Linked DNA regions of Tamandua tetradactyla. The protein of the gene in region 1 interacts with the protein of each later gene in a biochemical or structural test. Links are inferred from orthologs where the notes say so. Each region holds a gene or a part of one and is shown in the gene's direction. Other genes may lie near its edges. The genes, in order: GTF2I and USF1.

What was found.
Region 2: the proteins of GTF2I (region 1) and USF1 form a complex in vitro, tested with the Homo sapiens proteins (2 studies listed by BioGRID). The link is inferred for Tamandua tetradactyla from reciprocal best matches to the Homo sapiens genes GTF2I and USF1.

What each region holds. Positions count from the first base shown.
Region 1 is NC_135349.1:12,201,421-12,209,063, forward strand, and holds the start of GTF2I (general transcription factor II-I), read left to right. Parts: upstream 1-4,422; 5' UTR 4,423-4,857; coding exon 4,858-4,885; intron 4,886-6,006; coding exon 6,007-6,110; intron 6,111-7,643. UniProt on the Homo sapiens protein: Interacts with the basal transcription machinery by coordinating the formation of a multiprotein complex at the C-FOS promoter, and linking specific signal responsive activator complexes.
Region 2 is NC_135330.1:14,190,984-14,198,100, reverse strand, and holds the start of USF1 (upstream stimulatory factor 1), read left to right. Parts: upstream 1-3,899; 5' UTR 3,900-4,034; intron 4,035-5,007; exon of another isoform or gene 5,008-5,762; intron 5,763-6,301; 5' UTR 6,302-6,386; coding exon 6,387-6,394; intron 6,395-6,788; coding exon 6,789-6,838; intron 6,839-6,986; coding exon 6,987-7,102; intron 7,103-7,117. Other genes in the region: ARHGAP30 (rho GTPase-activating protein 30), read left to right, coding at 193-458, 551-2,179.

The sequences.
Region 1 (7,643 bases):
TTGATGAGAGTGGTGAATTGAAGTCTCCAACTATTATGGTATATGTGTCTATTTCCCTTTTCAGTGTTTGCAGTGTATTCCTCACGTATTTTGGGGCATTCTGGTTCGGTGCGTAAATATTTATGATTGTTATGTCTTCTTGCTTAATTGTTCCTTTTAATAGTATATAGTGTCCTTCTTTGTCTCTTTTAACTGTTTTACATTTGAAGTCTAATTTGTTGGATATTAGTATAGCCACTCCTGCTCTTTTCTGGTTGTTATTTGCATGAAATATCTTTTCCCAACCTTTCACTTTCAACCTATGTTTATCTTTGGGTCTAAGATGTGTTTCCTGTAGACAGCATATAGAAGGATCCTGTTTTTTAATCCATTCTGCCAGTCTATGTCTTTTGATTGGGGAATTCAGTCCATTAACATTTAGAGTTATTACTGTTTGGATAATATTTTCCTCTACCATTTTGCCTTTTGTATTATATATATCATATCTGACTTTCCTTCTTTCTACACTTTTCTCCATGTCTCTCTCTTCTGTCTTTTCGGTTCTGACTCTAGTGCTTCCTTTAGTATTTCTTGCAGAGCTGGTCTCTTGGTCACAAATTCTCTCAGTGACTTTTTGTCTGAGAATGTTTTAATTTCTCCCTCATTTTTGAAGGACAATTTTGCTGGATATAGGAGTCTTGGCTGGCGGTTTTTCTCTTTTAGTAACTTAAATATATCATCCCACTGTCTTATAGCTTCCGTGGTTTCTGCTGAGAAATCTACACATAGTCTTATTGGGTTTCCCTTGTATGTGACAGATTGTTTTTCTCTTGCTGCTTTCAAGATCCTCTCTTTCTCTTTGACCTCTGACATTCTAACTAGTAAGTGTCTTGGGGAACGCCTATTTGTGTCTAATCTCTTTAGGGTGCGCTGCACTTCTTGGATCCGTAATTTTAGGTCTTTCATAAGAGTTGGGAAATTTTCAGTGATAATTTCTTCCATTAGTTTTTCTCCTCCTTTTCCCTTCTCTTCTCCTTCTGGGACACCCACTACACGTATATTTGTACGGTTCACATTGTCCTTGAGTTCCCTGATACCTTGTTCAAATTTTTCCATTCTTTTCTGGATAGTTTCTGTTTCTTTTTGGAATTCAGATGTTTCATCCTCCAAATCACTAATTCTATCTTCTGTCTCTTTAAATCTGTCATTGTAGGTATCCATTGTTTTTTCCATCTTTTCTACTTTATCCTTCACTTCCATAAGTTCTGTGATTTGTTTTTTCAGTTTTTCTATTTCTTCTTTATGTTCAGCCCATGTCTTCTTCATGTCCTCCCTCAATTTATTGATTTCGTTTTTGAAGAGGTTTTCCATTTCTGTTCGTATATTCAGCATTAGTTGTTTCAGCTCCTGTATCTCATTTGAACTATTGGTTTGTTCGTTTGACTGGGCCATATGTTCAATTTTCTGAGCGTGATCCGTTATCTTCTGCTGGCGTCTGGGCATTTAGTCAGATTTCCCTGGGTGTTCGACCCCACAGGTTGAAAGATTTTTCTGTGCAATCTCTGGGTTCTGTTTTTCTTATCCTGCCCAGTAGGTGGCGCTCGTGGCATACGTTTGTCTACGGGTTCCACCAGTGAAAGTTGCTGTGGGTTCTTTAACTCTGGAAAATTCTCGCTGTAGGGGAGGTTCGGCAGCCGAAGCGTCTTGGAAGAGTGCCAGCCGGCCTGGGGTTCCGAATGCGGGGAGGGTCGCCAGCCGCCGCAGCACGGGAGAGCGTCCGGCCGAATTAGCTAGTCGGCCCGGGGCGCCAAGCATGGCGGGAGGGCGCCAGCTGTCGCAGCCTGGGAGAGTGCACTGTTCCCAGCCGGACAGGGGAGTCACGTGTTTGGAAGGGATCCCCCGGTCACTGTTCTCCGCAGTCTGGGGATTTCCGACCCAGCTCTCTCAGTTGGTCCGGGGGGCCTCGCGTGGTGGGGGCACCAGCCGCCTCGGCCTAAGGGGACCGCCTGTCCAATTCTATCAGCTGGCCTGGGAAGGTGGAAGGGAGGGACTCCGGTCGCTTGCCGTCCCACCCAGGAAAGCCCGTGCCCCTTGGTGATCTCACCGGAGCTGGTTCTCCCAGATAGTCAGCCGTTCCAGGATGGGGTACGCCGTTCCTTTGATCTCCCTCGTGGCTCTGGGAGCTGCTCTGTATTATCTCACTCCCCCAGTAGCTGTTCTGGAGGAGGAAAGGTGAGGGTGGCAAGGCTGTCGAGGCTGGTGGCGGAGGAGCCGGTGAAGGCGGAAGAGGGGAGAGGAGGGCGGGCGGGTCCGCTGCTGCGGGGCGTCGGCGCCGCGCGGCGGGCCGGTGGACAAAAGGGGAGAGGAGGGCGGGCGGGTCCGCTGCTCTCCATTACATCTTGAATAATAAGATGATATCTACTTAATGTGTAAGAATAAGCTCCAGGATAACCTCTCCACTCTGTTTGTAATCTCTCAGCCATTGACACTTTGTCTCATTTCACTCTTCCTCCTTTTGGTCGAGAAGGTTTTCTCAATCCTTTGATGCTGAGTCTCACTCAGCTCATTCTAGGATTTCTCTCCAATGTTGCCAGGAAGGTCCACACCCCTGGAATCATGTCCCACGTAGACAGGGGGAGGGTGGTGAGTTTGCTTGTTGTGTTGGCTGGAGAGAGAGGCCACATCTGAGCAACAAAAGAGGCTCTCTTGGGGGTGACTCTTAGGCCTAAATTTTAAGTAGACTTGACCTATCCTGTGTGGGGTTAAGTTTCATATAAACAAACCCCAAGACTGGAGGCTCAGCCTATAGCTTTGGTTGTCCACACCGCTTGTGAGAATACCAAGAATTCAACTTGGGGAAGTTGAATTGGTCCCCGTTCTCACCATTCCCTGAAGGGGACTTTGCAAATACTTTTCCACTCACTGATTGGATCACTTTGGGATTCATCGGGGCATCACTCTGGACAAACCAACAAAATCTCATGTCCTACCTGAGATTCCAAGTACTTATAGTGTTCAATCAAGCTGTGTCTACATAAGTTATATTAGGAAATGCACTGGTCAAAATATAAATTTTATACCAATTAAACATTTTTTGCTTTTGTCTCACACATAAGGTGAGATTTTAAAATATTAATTAGCATCTATTTTCAGCACCCTGCAGTAATGACATTCCTTTGTTCTTCCTCATGCAAAAACATTTTTAAAATTTGTACATTTGGTCACTATTATTATACACTCTAGGCATTCCTAGATTATACCATCTCAATCTTTAACGTCTATCTTTCTTTCTGATTTCATTTATGCTCCCAACCCTCCTCCATCTACCATTCTCACATGCAGCTTCATTCAGTGTTTTAATGTAATTGTATTATAGTTAGGTAGTATTGTGCTGTCCATTTCTGAGTTTTTATATTCAGTCCTGTTGCACAGTCTGTATCCCTTCAGCTCTAATACAAGATCATTTTGGTAATTTTCCTTTCTGTTTCAAAGAACTCATACTGACAAGGTTTGGATGTACAAACTCCCAATTTCATTTTGTGTAAATTTGGATCTAATCATCCCATTTAATGCTCTAAATTTTTGGTTTCATGGCCTCTTTTATTAAGAAACCTCTGAGTTTAGACATGGTGTAATATGACAAGTCATATCTTGGTGATTTTTTTTTTTTAATTTCAAAACACCATTTTAAAATTTATTTTATACTTTTTATTTTTACTCCTCCCTTCTCCCCTTATTTCTAGTCATCTCCTATAGATGATAATATACAATTTGTCTTTATGTATATTACTTGTTTCACTGGGTATGTTTTCAAGGTTCTTCCATTTTAGTGATTTTTGCTGTTTATTTCTAATAACACACACAACACCTTTTAGGGAATACCTGAAAAAGACTATACATGGATCCTGCTAAAGTAACTTATGGAACATCTTTTCCCTTTTTGAGTCCTTATGTATATTTCATTTTGCTTTTCTAAAAGAAAGTAAAACAGTTGAGAGACAGACCAGAGGCAAGCTCCTCCACCTCTCAGTGTCCTCATAATATAAATAAAAGGTCTCCCCTATAGGGTTGTTGTGAGTATTGAATTAGACAGTTGGAAGAGTACTGGTATGATAGGTATATTAAAAAAAAATTGTTTTTTTTCTGTCCAATTCTTCTTTTGACTTTAAATTGAAGGGATTCATAAAAGATCAGAGGTAAAAGGAACCGGCAAAATTAGTTTCCATTTACAGAGGAGTTTACAGAGGAGGAGCCTGACCATATATAGCCCACTGAGGTCAAGTGGCTGATGAGTGACCTGATAACACTCAACCTGGCTCTCCTGGCTTTGATTCCATGCAAGGAGTAAGCATCATGCCTCTTGCTGCAGGTGCTGCATGCTCAGCCTGGCTTGGTCTGCCCTTTGTCAGTCCTTTTTGAGAAAAGAAGAGGAGGGTAGAAACAGCCATATCTATACATATTTATATAAATATTTGTAAATATGTTCTCCATACATCTCTTGTAATGAATATAAGTGCATCCATTTCCAGAGAGCAGAAAGCCGCAAGCAAAATGCACCCTTCCTCATTAAGCCTGACTGGAGTTGGTCCTTCTTAGGATTCTTTCCATCAAAAATACTGAAAAGTTCTCACAGTGACCTCTAATCATCTGTGGTATGCCCATGGTCTGTTAGTGTGGACCTTCTCTCCCACTTCTTACCACAGATTGCTTGTGAATGACATCATAATATCATGGCAACTTAAGGTGAGAAGAATTGAAAGCAACAATTGGCAGAAAAATCATCTTTGTGTTCTAGCTCTGGCGGTGGCTACATATCCTTTAGAAGTCATTGCATTTGTAAAATGAGAACACATCTCCTTTTCTTCTCCCTTGGGAATCATGGGAAAAGTGATTATGAAAAAATACTGTGAGTTTTAAGAGATAATGGTAGAGTATAATCTTAAGGGATCGTTCTGTTTATTGGAAATTAATACGCCTTTGCTGTCCTTTTTGCCTAAGCCACTTTTCAGTATGAATTTATTTAGACATTTATACAAAAGAAAAGAGTGGAACCTAGGCAGTTATCTTTATAATAGAGAAAATATTTACTTAAATATTTAATCATAACAGTTTGCATGCTCATAGCTCTTCATGGCTTGTTTGTGTTCTCTGGAATATTGTGGCTTTAGCTAAGGGGATAACAGTAAGTTAATTTATATACATAGATATGTTTTTAGAATTCCTATTCATCCTTAATTTTTTAATCATCCTTTCATATTTTTATTTTGCTAGCAGGTAGGATTCATCCAGATAAATTGAGTGGGATAATTTTTTAACAGGTGTTTACTTTGTATTTTATTCATGAGAAAATAACTTTTTTTGAGTATATAAAGAATTTCTAAAAATTTTGCTTTGAATTTTTGCCAGTTAGTGGTTTTATGTGGTATATTTTCATCGTGTTTGAAATTTATCCAAGTCTGCTTGCTGATACCAAAGTATTGGAAAATGTTTTCTAAGGAGAATAAAATGCTATATTATAAAGGGATCTTAGATGTTATTTGATGCCCTGCAAAGCTATTTCCTTCCTGGAAAGAAAGAACAGGAGAAATGTTCTTTACTTGGTAGATAAATTCTCTTTATCTACCTTAGCTATTCTCCCAGCGTGTACCCTGGAGAAAGGGGACTTTGCGTTTGTTTCCTCTGTTAAGATATGCTAGACCATCACCGGATTGTAAAGTGCATCACCTTTTCTTCCACTTAATTGGGTAAAATATGAACTGGTCCTATATGTGCATTTGGATTCATTTTGAGGGGCAGTACTGATCTGATTTCATGGAAATAATACTAGATATGGAAAGTTAGGGGACAGATCCTCTACCTTAGAGGGTAAGAATCTTGAGCAATTAAATACTTAGTTTTTGAGCCTTATTTTTGCTCTTACATAAGGAAACTGTAAATTAGGTAATATATAGAAGACTGTTAGAGCTAGACTTGATTTTAGAGGAATACTGTGGATTCTACCATTCACTTATTACTTATCTTGCATAGGGATCATGGCCCAAGTAGCAATGTCTACCCTGCCTGTTGAAGATGAGGAGTCTTCGGAGAGCAGGATGGTGGTGACGTTCCTCATGTCTGCTCTTGAGTCAATGGTGAGACAGCCTTACAATTATATAAGATGTTCATTCCATAGTTGGATAGGACTGGGCTTGTGCTTAAAACATAATTTTATATTTGTTTTGCTGTTTTAATAAGAATTCTTTTTTTTTTTTCTTGGAAAATACGTAGATTGAAGTCTATCTTTTTTTTTAATTTTTAAATTTATTTATGAAGCATAACCACATACAAACATTCTTACCATATGATCATTCCATTTTTGTTATATAATACATAACTCACAATATCATCACATATTCTTATATTCATCATCATAATCATTTCTTAGAACATTTGCATCAATTCAGAAAAAGAAATAAAAAGAAAACCAAAAAATTCATACATACCATATCCTTCCTTTCATTGATCACTAGCATTTCAATCTACTAAATTTATTTTTACATTTGTTTCCCCTATTATTTATTTATTTTCAATCCGTATGTTTTACTCATCTGTCGATAAGGTAGATAAAAGGAGCATCAGACAAAGTTTTCACAATCACACAGTCACATTGTGAAAGCTATATCATTATACAATCATCTTCAAGAAACATGGCTACTGGAACACAGCTTTGCATTTTCAGGCAGTTCCCTCCAGCCTTTCCATTACACCTTAACTAAAAAGGTGATATCTATTTAATGCATAAGAATAACTTCTGGGATAACCTCTCAACTCTTTGGAATCTCTCAGCCATTCACACTTTATTTTGTCTCATTTCACTTTTCCCCCTTTTGGTGGAGAAGGTTTTCTCCCTCCCTTGATGCTGAGTCCCAGCTCATTCTAGGATTTCTGTCCCACATTGCCAGGAAGGTCCACACCCCTGGGAGTCATGTCCCATGTAGACATGGGGAGGGCAGTGAGTTTGCTTGTTGTGTTGGCTGAGAGAGAGAGGCCACATCTGAGCAACAAAAGAGGTTCTCTTGGGGGTGATTATTAGGCCTAATTTTAAGTAGACTTAGCTTATCCTTTGCTGGTTAAGTTTCAAATGAATGAACCCCAAGATTGGAGGCTCAACCTATTGCTTTGGTTGTCCCCACTGCTTGTCAGAAAGTCAGTCATTTTATTACAATTGTTTGAGAATGTTCTTAACTTATCTATGTTTAAGTATTTTACATTTAATTTCAATTTTTAATTTGCTGATATCTTAAGCAATCACTTATTTTATAAGTGTTAACTTTGAATTATATGTAATATTTGATGTTTACTGAGAATAGGAGTTTGTACATTACAGTGTTTTATTTACTATATCTTTATAAAGAAAAGGATCAGAATTTTGGGGCACAAGTACATAATTCCTATTTTATATATATTTCCTATTTTATTCTGCTTTTAAAGAATGCGTCCACAATTGTCCTTACTCTGCCACTTTTTACTAAATTATGTAGTGTTAGTTCTTTAAAAAAAACTTACCTTATACATAATTATAGTGAAATAGTCTTATTTTCTTGCTGTAGTTTCATATTTGTTTTACTATGATGATGGTAGTAAGTTTGTTTATGATGTTTTTCTGGACATAGAGATAGAAACAC
Region 2 (7,117 bases), on another chromosome or scaffold:
ACCTGGCAGGTGCTGAATAAAAGGAGGCTACAAGCCAAGAGTTAGGGATATTGATCTAAGAGGATCAGCTATGCGGAATGTCTGTGCTGGGAGCACTGGGCCTATACTCTATCAGTGCTAGAAAGACTCATGTGGAAAGGGTCAAGGCTGGCCTGGCCCTTTGGATTTCTGGGACTACCTCTCTCTCAACAGATGAGAAGTCAGAGGCAAGTTCAGCCCCTGGTTCCCTGGCTGACTCTGGCCAAGCAGAAGTGGCCCCTGCCCTGGAAGACTCCCTGTCCCAGGAGGTGCAGGATTCCTTCTCCTTCCTAGAGGACTCAAGCAGCTCAGATCCTGAGTGGGTGGGGGTGGAGGATGGGGAGGTGACCAAGGCAGGAGCGGCAGGAGCAGCTTTCTCTCCTGTGGAGGACGATCCTGGGATGGGCTACCTGGAGGAGCTCCTGGGAATTGGGCCTCAGGTAAGATGGAGGTGTGCTGGGTTTTGGGGTGGTATGGGATCTGGAGGGTGGATAGGGTCGCCCAGTCCTGAGCTACAACACCATGTCTACAGGTGGAGGAGTTCTCTGTGGAACCACCCCTTGATGATCTGTCTCTGGATGAGGGACAGTTTGTTCTGGCTCCCAGCTGCTGTTCCCTGGACCTGGCTAGCCCCAGGCCTGATGCAGAGGAGGAAGGTGGGGAGGAAGTCTTCCTGAGTGCCTACGATGACCTAGATCCCCTTATGGGACCCAAATCCTCAAACTGGGAGGGTCCAGGGAATCTGGAAGAAGAGGCAGCAGGGTGCAGAAGATGGTCTCCAGGACAGGTTGAGGGAGAGCAGGTGTGTACGGAAGTTGGGGAGGACAAGGAGTCTGAGCCTGGAAGCAGATGGGATGTTAGGGAGGAGGCTGAGGGATGTCCACAGACTGAGGAAGGGGCTGGAGTGGCTGGTGAGGAAGGAGCAGAGGCTAAGGGAGACCAAGACATGATGGTCAGTTTGAGAGATGGGAGTGGGGAAGAGACAGAGGCCAAGGGAGAGAAGTCCAAAAGTCAGATGGATGCTGAGAATGAGGCTAAAGGTGTGGAAGAATCAGGAGAGGAGCATGGTAAAGACAAGGAGAAGGAAAGAGAGAATGAGAGAGAGGAAGAGACTGATGGAGGAGGGGAAGTCCAGGCAGAAGTTGAACAGGACCCAGAACATGGGACCCAGGAACACCAAGTTGCTGAGGAGAGCTGGGAAGTTATACATGAACAAGAGGCTGAGGGAGGCAGGGAGGATGAGGTCAAAGGACAGAGAGGGAAGGGGGGTCAAGAGGCAATAGAAGATCAAGGAAATGGTGAAGACAGAAGCCCAGAAGACGCAGCTGGAGGAGGAGCAGGGGTAGTGAGCAAGGAACGGGAGAGTGGAGATGGGGAAGCTGAGGGAGACCAGAGAGCTGAAGGTGACCATATAGAAAAGGGTTCTTTCCCTGAAGGGTCAGTCATAGAGTGCTTGGAGGTCGACAGTAACAAAGAGGGCAACGCTCAGGCCTCTGAGGGGGAACAGGCAACTCCACAACCACCCCGGCCAGAAGAGATGGAACCTGAGGGGCATCCCAGTTCAGACAGCTGCAATCTGTGCCTCTGTACCCTTGACTCAGTCAGTGGTGTGGGCATGCGTCTGGCTTCCACCCTCGTTCAGGTCCAACAGGTCCGCTCTGTGCCTGTGGTGCCCCCCAAACCACAGTTTGCCAAGAAACCCAGTGCACTGTGTAGCAAGATCCATGTGGCACCTGCAAACCCATGTCCAAGGCCTGGCCGGCTTGATGGGACTCCTGGGGAAAGAGTTTGGGGGTCTCGAGCCTCCCGCTCCTCCTGGAGGAATGGGGGTAGTCTTTCCTTTGATGCTGCTGTGGCCCTGGCCCGGGACCGCCAAAGAACTGAGGCTCAGGGAGTTCAGCGGACCCAGACCTATACTGGGGGCGGGGACTATAGCTTCATTCCCAGAACCTTTCCCTGTAGCATGACCCCAGCCCATTCTCCTCGGCCCCTTAGCTGCCTGGAGCTCCAACCTGAAGGTACAGAAGGATCTGGACCCCGGAGTCGACTTAGTCTGCCCCCCACAGAACTCCAGCCCCCTGACTCCCTTATGCCCCCCCAGCGCCGATCGTATGCATTCGAAACACATGCTGACCCTGGAAAAGTGAGGGACTGTGATTAGGACCAAAGCACTGGGTAAAGGGGACCAGTCAGTTGTTTTGAATCTCCAGGCCCCCTGAACAGCTGTCTCTTCTGCAGCCTGAGCAGCTGTAGTACCCAACTCTATAGGCTTTGGCTCTCCAGCTTCTCTTTTTGACTCTGGGAGGCTGCAGCCTTGATTGATTTACCTGAGCTTGTCTCAGATAGAAAGCACTTATCTCTTAGGAGATTCCTAAGAAATCTTGTTTCTAGAGAGAGCAGTCATTGACAAAGAGAACAGAGGGTGGGCTGAGAGCTTAAGATAGAGATTTCTCAAAGTAAAGAGTAGAAGGGGAATTTCAACCATGTTCCTGCCCTCCTCTGAGGCTGTGATGTCCTTTATGGAAGCCCAGGGTGGAAGGGAGAAGAAAAGGCCAGGTCAGAGCCTACCTCACACAAACACTTCTAGAGATGCCCAGCCCTGGACTGTTATTGGATCCTTGGATACATTCTGACCTTCTGAGCTTCAGATTGCCAGGAATGTGTCAGGAAGCTCTTTGGATGCCTCAAAATTTGTTGGGGGGACTGACCCCTTCCTGGTCCCCCCACCACCCTCTGCCTTCAGTCACCTTTGGGAAGAAGGGTCCTGTAGCTATCTCTCTGGCCTCTCCTTTTCCCTTTGGAATAGCCTCCTCCTATCTCAGGATAGAAGTCACTCAGGTTCTAGGACTGCTTTTCCAAACAGGCTGAGGCTACAGGTCTCACTCTAGTAAGATGCAAAGTTTCGGAATAAAAGTTGTATTTTTACACATAAATAGTGTGGTATTTCATTATGCTTATTAAAGTCTTGGGTTGTAGGTATCATCTTTTCATGTTTGGGCAAACATCTCTTTTTATTGTTTGGGTGTTCTTCCTTAGTTGTTGTCATGGGGATCTGTGGCTAGAAACTAGAGCTGGGTTCACAGTGGTCAGGAAAGGGGGAAGAGAAACTGACATTTACATAATTTTCAATATGTGCTAGAAACTGGGATAGGTCTTCTATGTGCATAGAGTCTACGTCCTTCATTTTATTTAACTCATGTAACAATTCTGTAAGGTTAGTACTGATACCTACATTTAAGGGAGCAAGGGGCCAAGGCTCACTTAAGTTAAAAGGCCAGCCAAGGATCTCAGAGGTAAGACGTGGCAGGCGGGGGGTGGGTTTGAGGCCCAGGGTTGTGGAGCCCCACAGCCTGTTCTTTTCATTGTACCACATTACTACAAATCCATTAAGGGTAGATCCTGACTGGGGAGAATAGGAATTAACATCCCTCCCACAGACACCGAAGATTGGGGTCTGTGGGTGAGGTGCGGTTGATGCTAATGGCAAGGAGTACATCCGACAGCTTTCCTAAATTCCACTAGAAAACACTTAAAAGAGATGTCCCGGTCCAAGATGGCCTCCCACATAGCCCTTATTAAAGATGGCGCCTCCAGCTGACGTCCCTTCCGAGTTAACCTGGGCTCCCTCAACCCCTTTTCTCCTGGGATTAAAAAAGCCCTGCCCAGCACAAAAATGGCAGTTCAAGTTAGTCATTTTTCTCCGCTTCCTGCTCTCCTGCTGAAAGCCACTAGGAACTCCACTGTCATTATACTGGGACAGCAGCAGTTGGTTCTCCTCCGCTCCAGCAATACCCCACCACCTCGGCATTCCTCAACCTGCATCAAGATGGGGCTAACGGAAGTGGGGCGGCTCCATGGCTATAAGCAGGCAGGGCGGGTCGAGAGAGACACTTCCGCCCCTCACCAATATGGCCGCGGGTTGGGAACGCGCATGAGCAGCTGTCTATGGAGCTACCCGGGTCTGGGGTGGGGAGAACACCGTCCGGGAAAAGCAGCGGCTGAGGCGGCTTTGGCCGGTGAGTGCAGGACCGGATGCGAGTCTGGAGAGTGATGAACCGGCAGAGCTGAGCAGCTTTAATTTGTTTTAGTTTTTTTAGGTTAGGGAACTCCTGTGGAGGGAGCCTTTGTTTTGGGGGAGGGGGCCGCGCCTGATTCTTTATCTCCTACCCCCTTAGTGGGCCGAACTCGTTCCCCGCCCCGCGCGCGCTCGCCCCCGCCCTCCTGCGGTCCTCGGCCGTCGATCGCGGCAGGGGGCGCCGGGCCACCGAGGGTCCCCGAACCGCTGGCGCCCTTTGCTCCCTCTACCGCGGGCTGAGCGCGGCGGGGCTGGCGGGGTCAAGGCGCGGGCTCCCGGCTTAGTGCCCTGCTCCGTCGGCGCCTGCCGGTTGGTGGGCCTGCAGGGAGACGTCGCATTCCCAGGCAAAGTCTAGGCGTCTGTCTTCTTTCGGGACTTCATTTTTTTTCCCCTTTTGTGTCCAGATTTAGCAAGGGCTCTGGCTGGTCCCTCCTCGCCTGAGTGTGCAGGCTACAACATCCTATCCCAATTTCCGTGTCGCACATCCCTAAGGCTCAATAAATACTTTTCTGATGTCCAACTGAGATTCAACTAAGTAGCCTGACCCCGTTGCTCGGTGTCCTCAGGTGCTACACCTGGCTGACAGCTGTGGATAATAGGGATGCCTCCCTATTCCTTGCTCTCTCTTTCTTTACCTCCTTCTGCAGTCAGCGCTGCAAGCCTCGGGAGGGGCATTTCTTCCTTGCTTTTAGGATGGAGAGGCAGGTGGTCCTGAAACACTACTGCTACTTCCCCTTAGGGACTGGAATCTCCTTGCAGTGTTACTTCCTCTGGCAGTTTCACTTTCAGTTCCTTTTTTTAAAAAATACTTTCTTTGGAACGGGCTTTCCAAGGCTTATCCAAGAATGAAGATTTTCCTTGGCTAGGGAAGGGTTTAGGGTTTGGGGTTTGGGGGAGCATAGGGAGAGAGAGTTTATAAAAATCTTACCTGTTTTGTGTTGGGATTATTTTATTGCTTTGTAAAACGATGCTAATTCTCTCTGGAGGTATCTGTCTGCTCAACCCTTTGTTCTTCCTGTCCTCTGACTGTCAAGGTCCAAAGGCAGGCATCTTATGTTATAGACTGAATCATGTCCCCCACAAAGAGATGTTCAAATCCTAATCCCTGGTTCTGTGGATGTGAACTCATTTGTAAGTAGGATATTCGAAGATGTTATTAGTTATGGTGAGGCCAAATTGAATCAGGGTGGGCCTTATCCATTATGACTGGAACCCTCATAAGCAGAGGAAGTTTGGCCACAGTCAGTAGTAGGAGACAGAAGGAGATAGATGGCCACGTGACAGAGGCAGAGACTGAGTTAAGGATTACCAGCAAACTATCACCAGGATGCTCCAGACTTCAGAGAAAGCCTGATCCTGCCAACACCTTGAGTTTAGACTTTTAGGCTCCAAATCTGTGAGACAATAAATTCCTGTTGTTTAAGCCAACCAGTGTGTGGTATTTGTTATGGTAGCCTTGGCAAGCTAAAACAACTTGTGAATGGATTCTTCCCCCACTGTCTCTTCTCCTTCAGAACCCTGAGCCTGGAATTTTCTCATTCTTATTGAGGCTCAGTTGATTTGGAGTTGTCATGGCAACATGTTAGCAAATGTGTTTGGCAGGAAGCCTTGGTGAATAAAACCACAGGGGCTTAAAGAGGCTGCACTTGGGCTTTAGGGTCTCTAACAGGTGACATAAATCTGGACATCCCCAAACGAGAGCCCTGTCAACAAAATAGGGCCTGAGGGCCAAGTCTGGTCTTTGTGGTTAGCGATGTGTTTGCAGTGGCAGTGGGCTTTGGTTTTCCCCTCCATAGAATCAAGAATAGAGATTTCTTGGTATTCAGAATGTGGCTGAGAAGCTGGAAGAAGCATCAGTGTCATGGCCCTGTGGTCTTTGCTGGTGTTGGTCTAACATGGGTCTTCATAATCCCCATGAAGCTGCTGTCATATCAGATCATATGACTATAATAATCCAATCAGATATGTTATTTCTCAGTCTTCCAGTCCAATTATCCCCTCTCCAGATAGAGTTGGAGTGATAATAGAGGGCAAAGCACATCGTTTTTAGAGTGGCTTTTTCACCCACTTTAGCCCAATTCTAGGTATCAAAATGGCAGAGACTGATTGGATTATATTCTTGGCTGTGTTTTCATGGGGCCCAGGTTCTAGAACTAGGGGTGCTTTTCAGTTTCCTAGACTCATTGCAAACTCCCTGATTTCTCCCAGGACTTAGCACACAGGGCTGTGAGGCAGGAGATACGAAGACCTCAAGAGAAGGACCAGGTCCTCGGATGTGCCCCCTCACAGAGAGATGAAGGGGTGAGTCAAGAAGAAGTAGACTGGTACAGGAGGGAGGTGGCTTGGGAGAATGGTAATATGGCTAAGAGAATTTGCTCTGGAGTCACACCTGGATTCAGGTTCCAGCTCCATCACTTCTAGTTGTGTGATTTGGTTTCTCCGTGTATAAAATGGAGGTAGTGCTGCCTACCTCATAGGGGTGTTCCTAGTATTAAATGAGATAGTGCATGTTAAGTGCTTAGCTCAGTGCCTGGGTCCATATTAAACACTCAGTAAGTATTAGCTGTTGTTATTCCAATCTAATCTAGCATCTGTTGGGAATGCCACTGAGTTTGGGAGCCATATGTTACTGGATCAGTGAGCTTCCCATTCATTTCTTTCCTCATCCCTCCTTTTGTCCCTTATTCACAAATAGGCAGCAGAAAACAGCTGAAACAGAAGAGGGGACAGTGCAGATTCAGGAAGGTGAGTGGTAACAACAGATTTGAGAGCATATCATGGCCTCCCCCGTGGCCCATCTCTTGTGCACTCTCCTCCTTCTAAATGACATGCATGTGGAACAGAGGGATAAGGGCAGTAGCTCATAAACCTTTCTTTTGCTCTTTTAATTCAGGTGCAGTGGCAACTGGGGAGGACCCAACCAGTGTGGCTATTGCCAGCATCCAGTCAGCTGCCACCTTCCCTGACCCCAACGTCAAGTACGTCTTCCGAACTGAGAATGGGGGCCAGGTAAGGGAGGGGGCC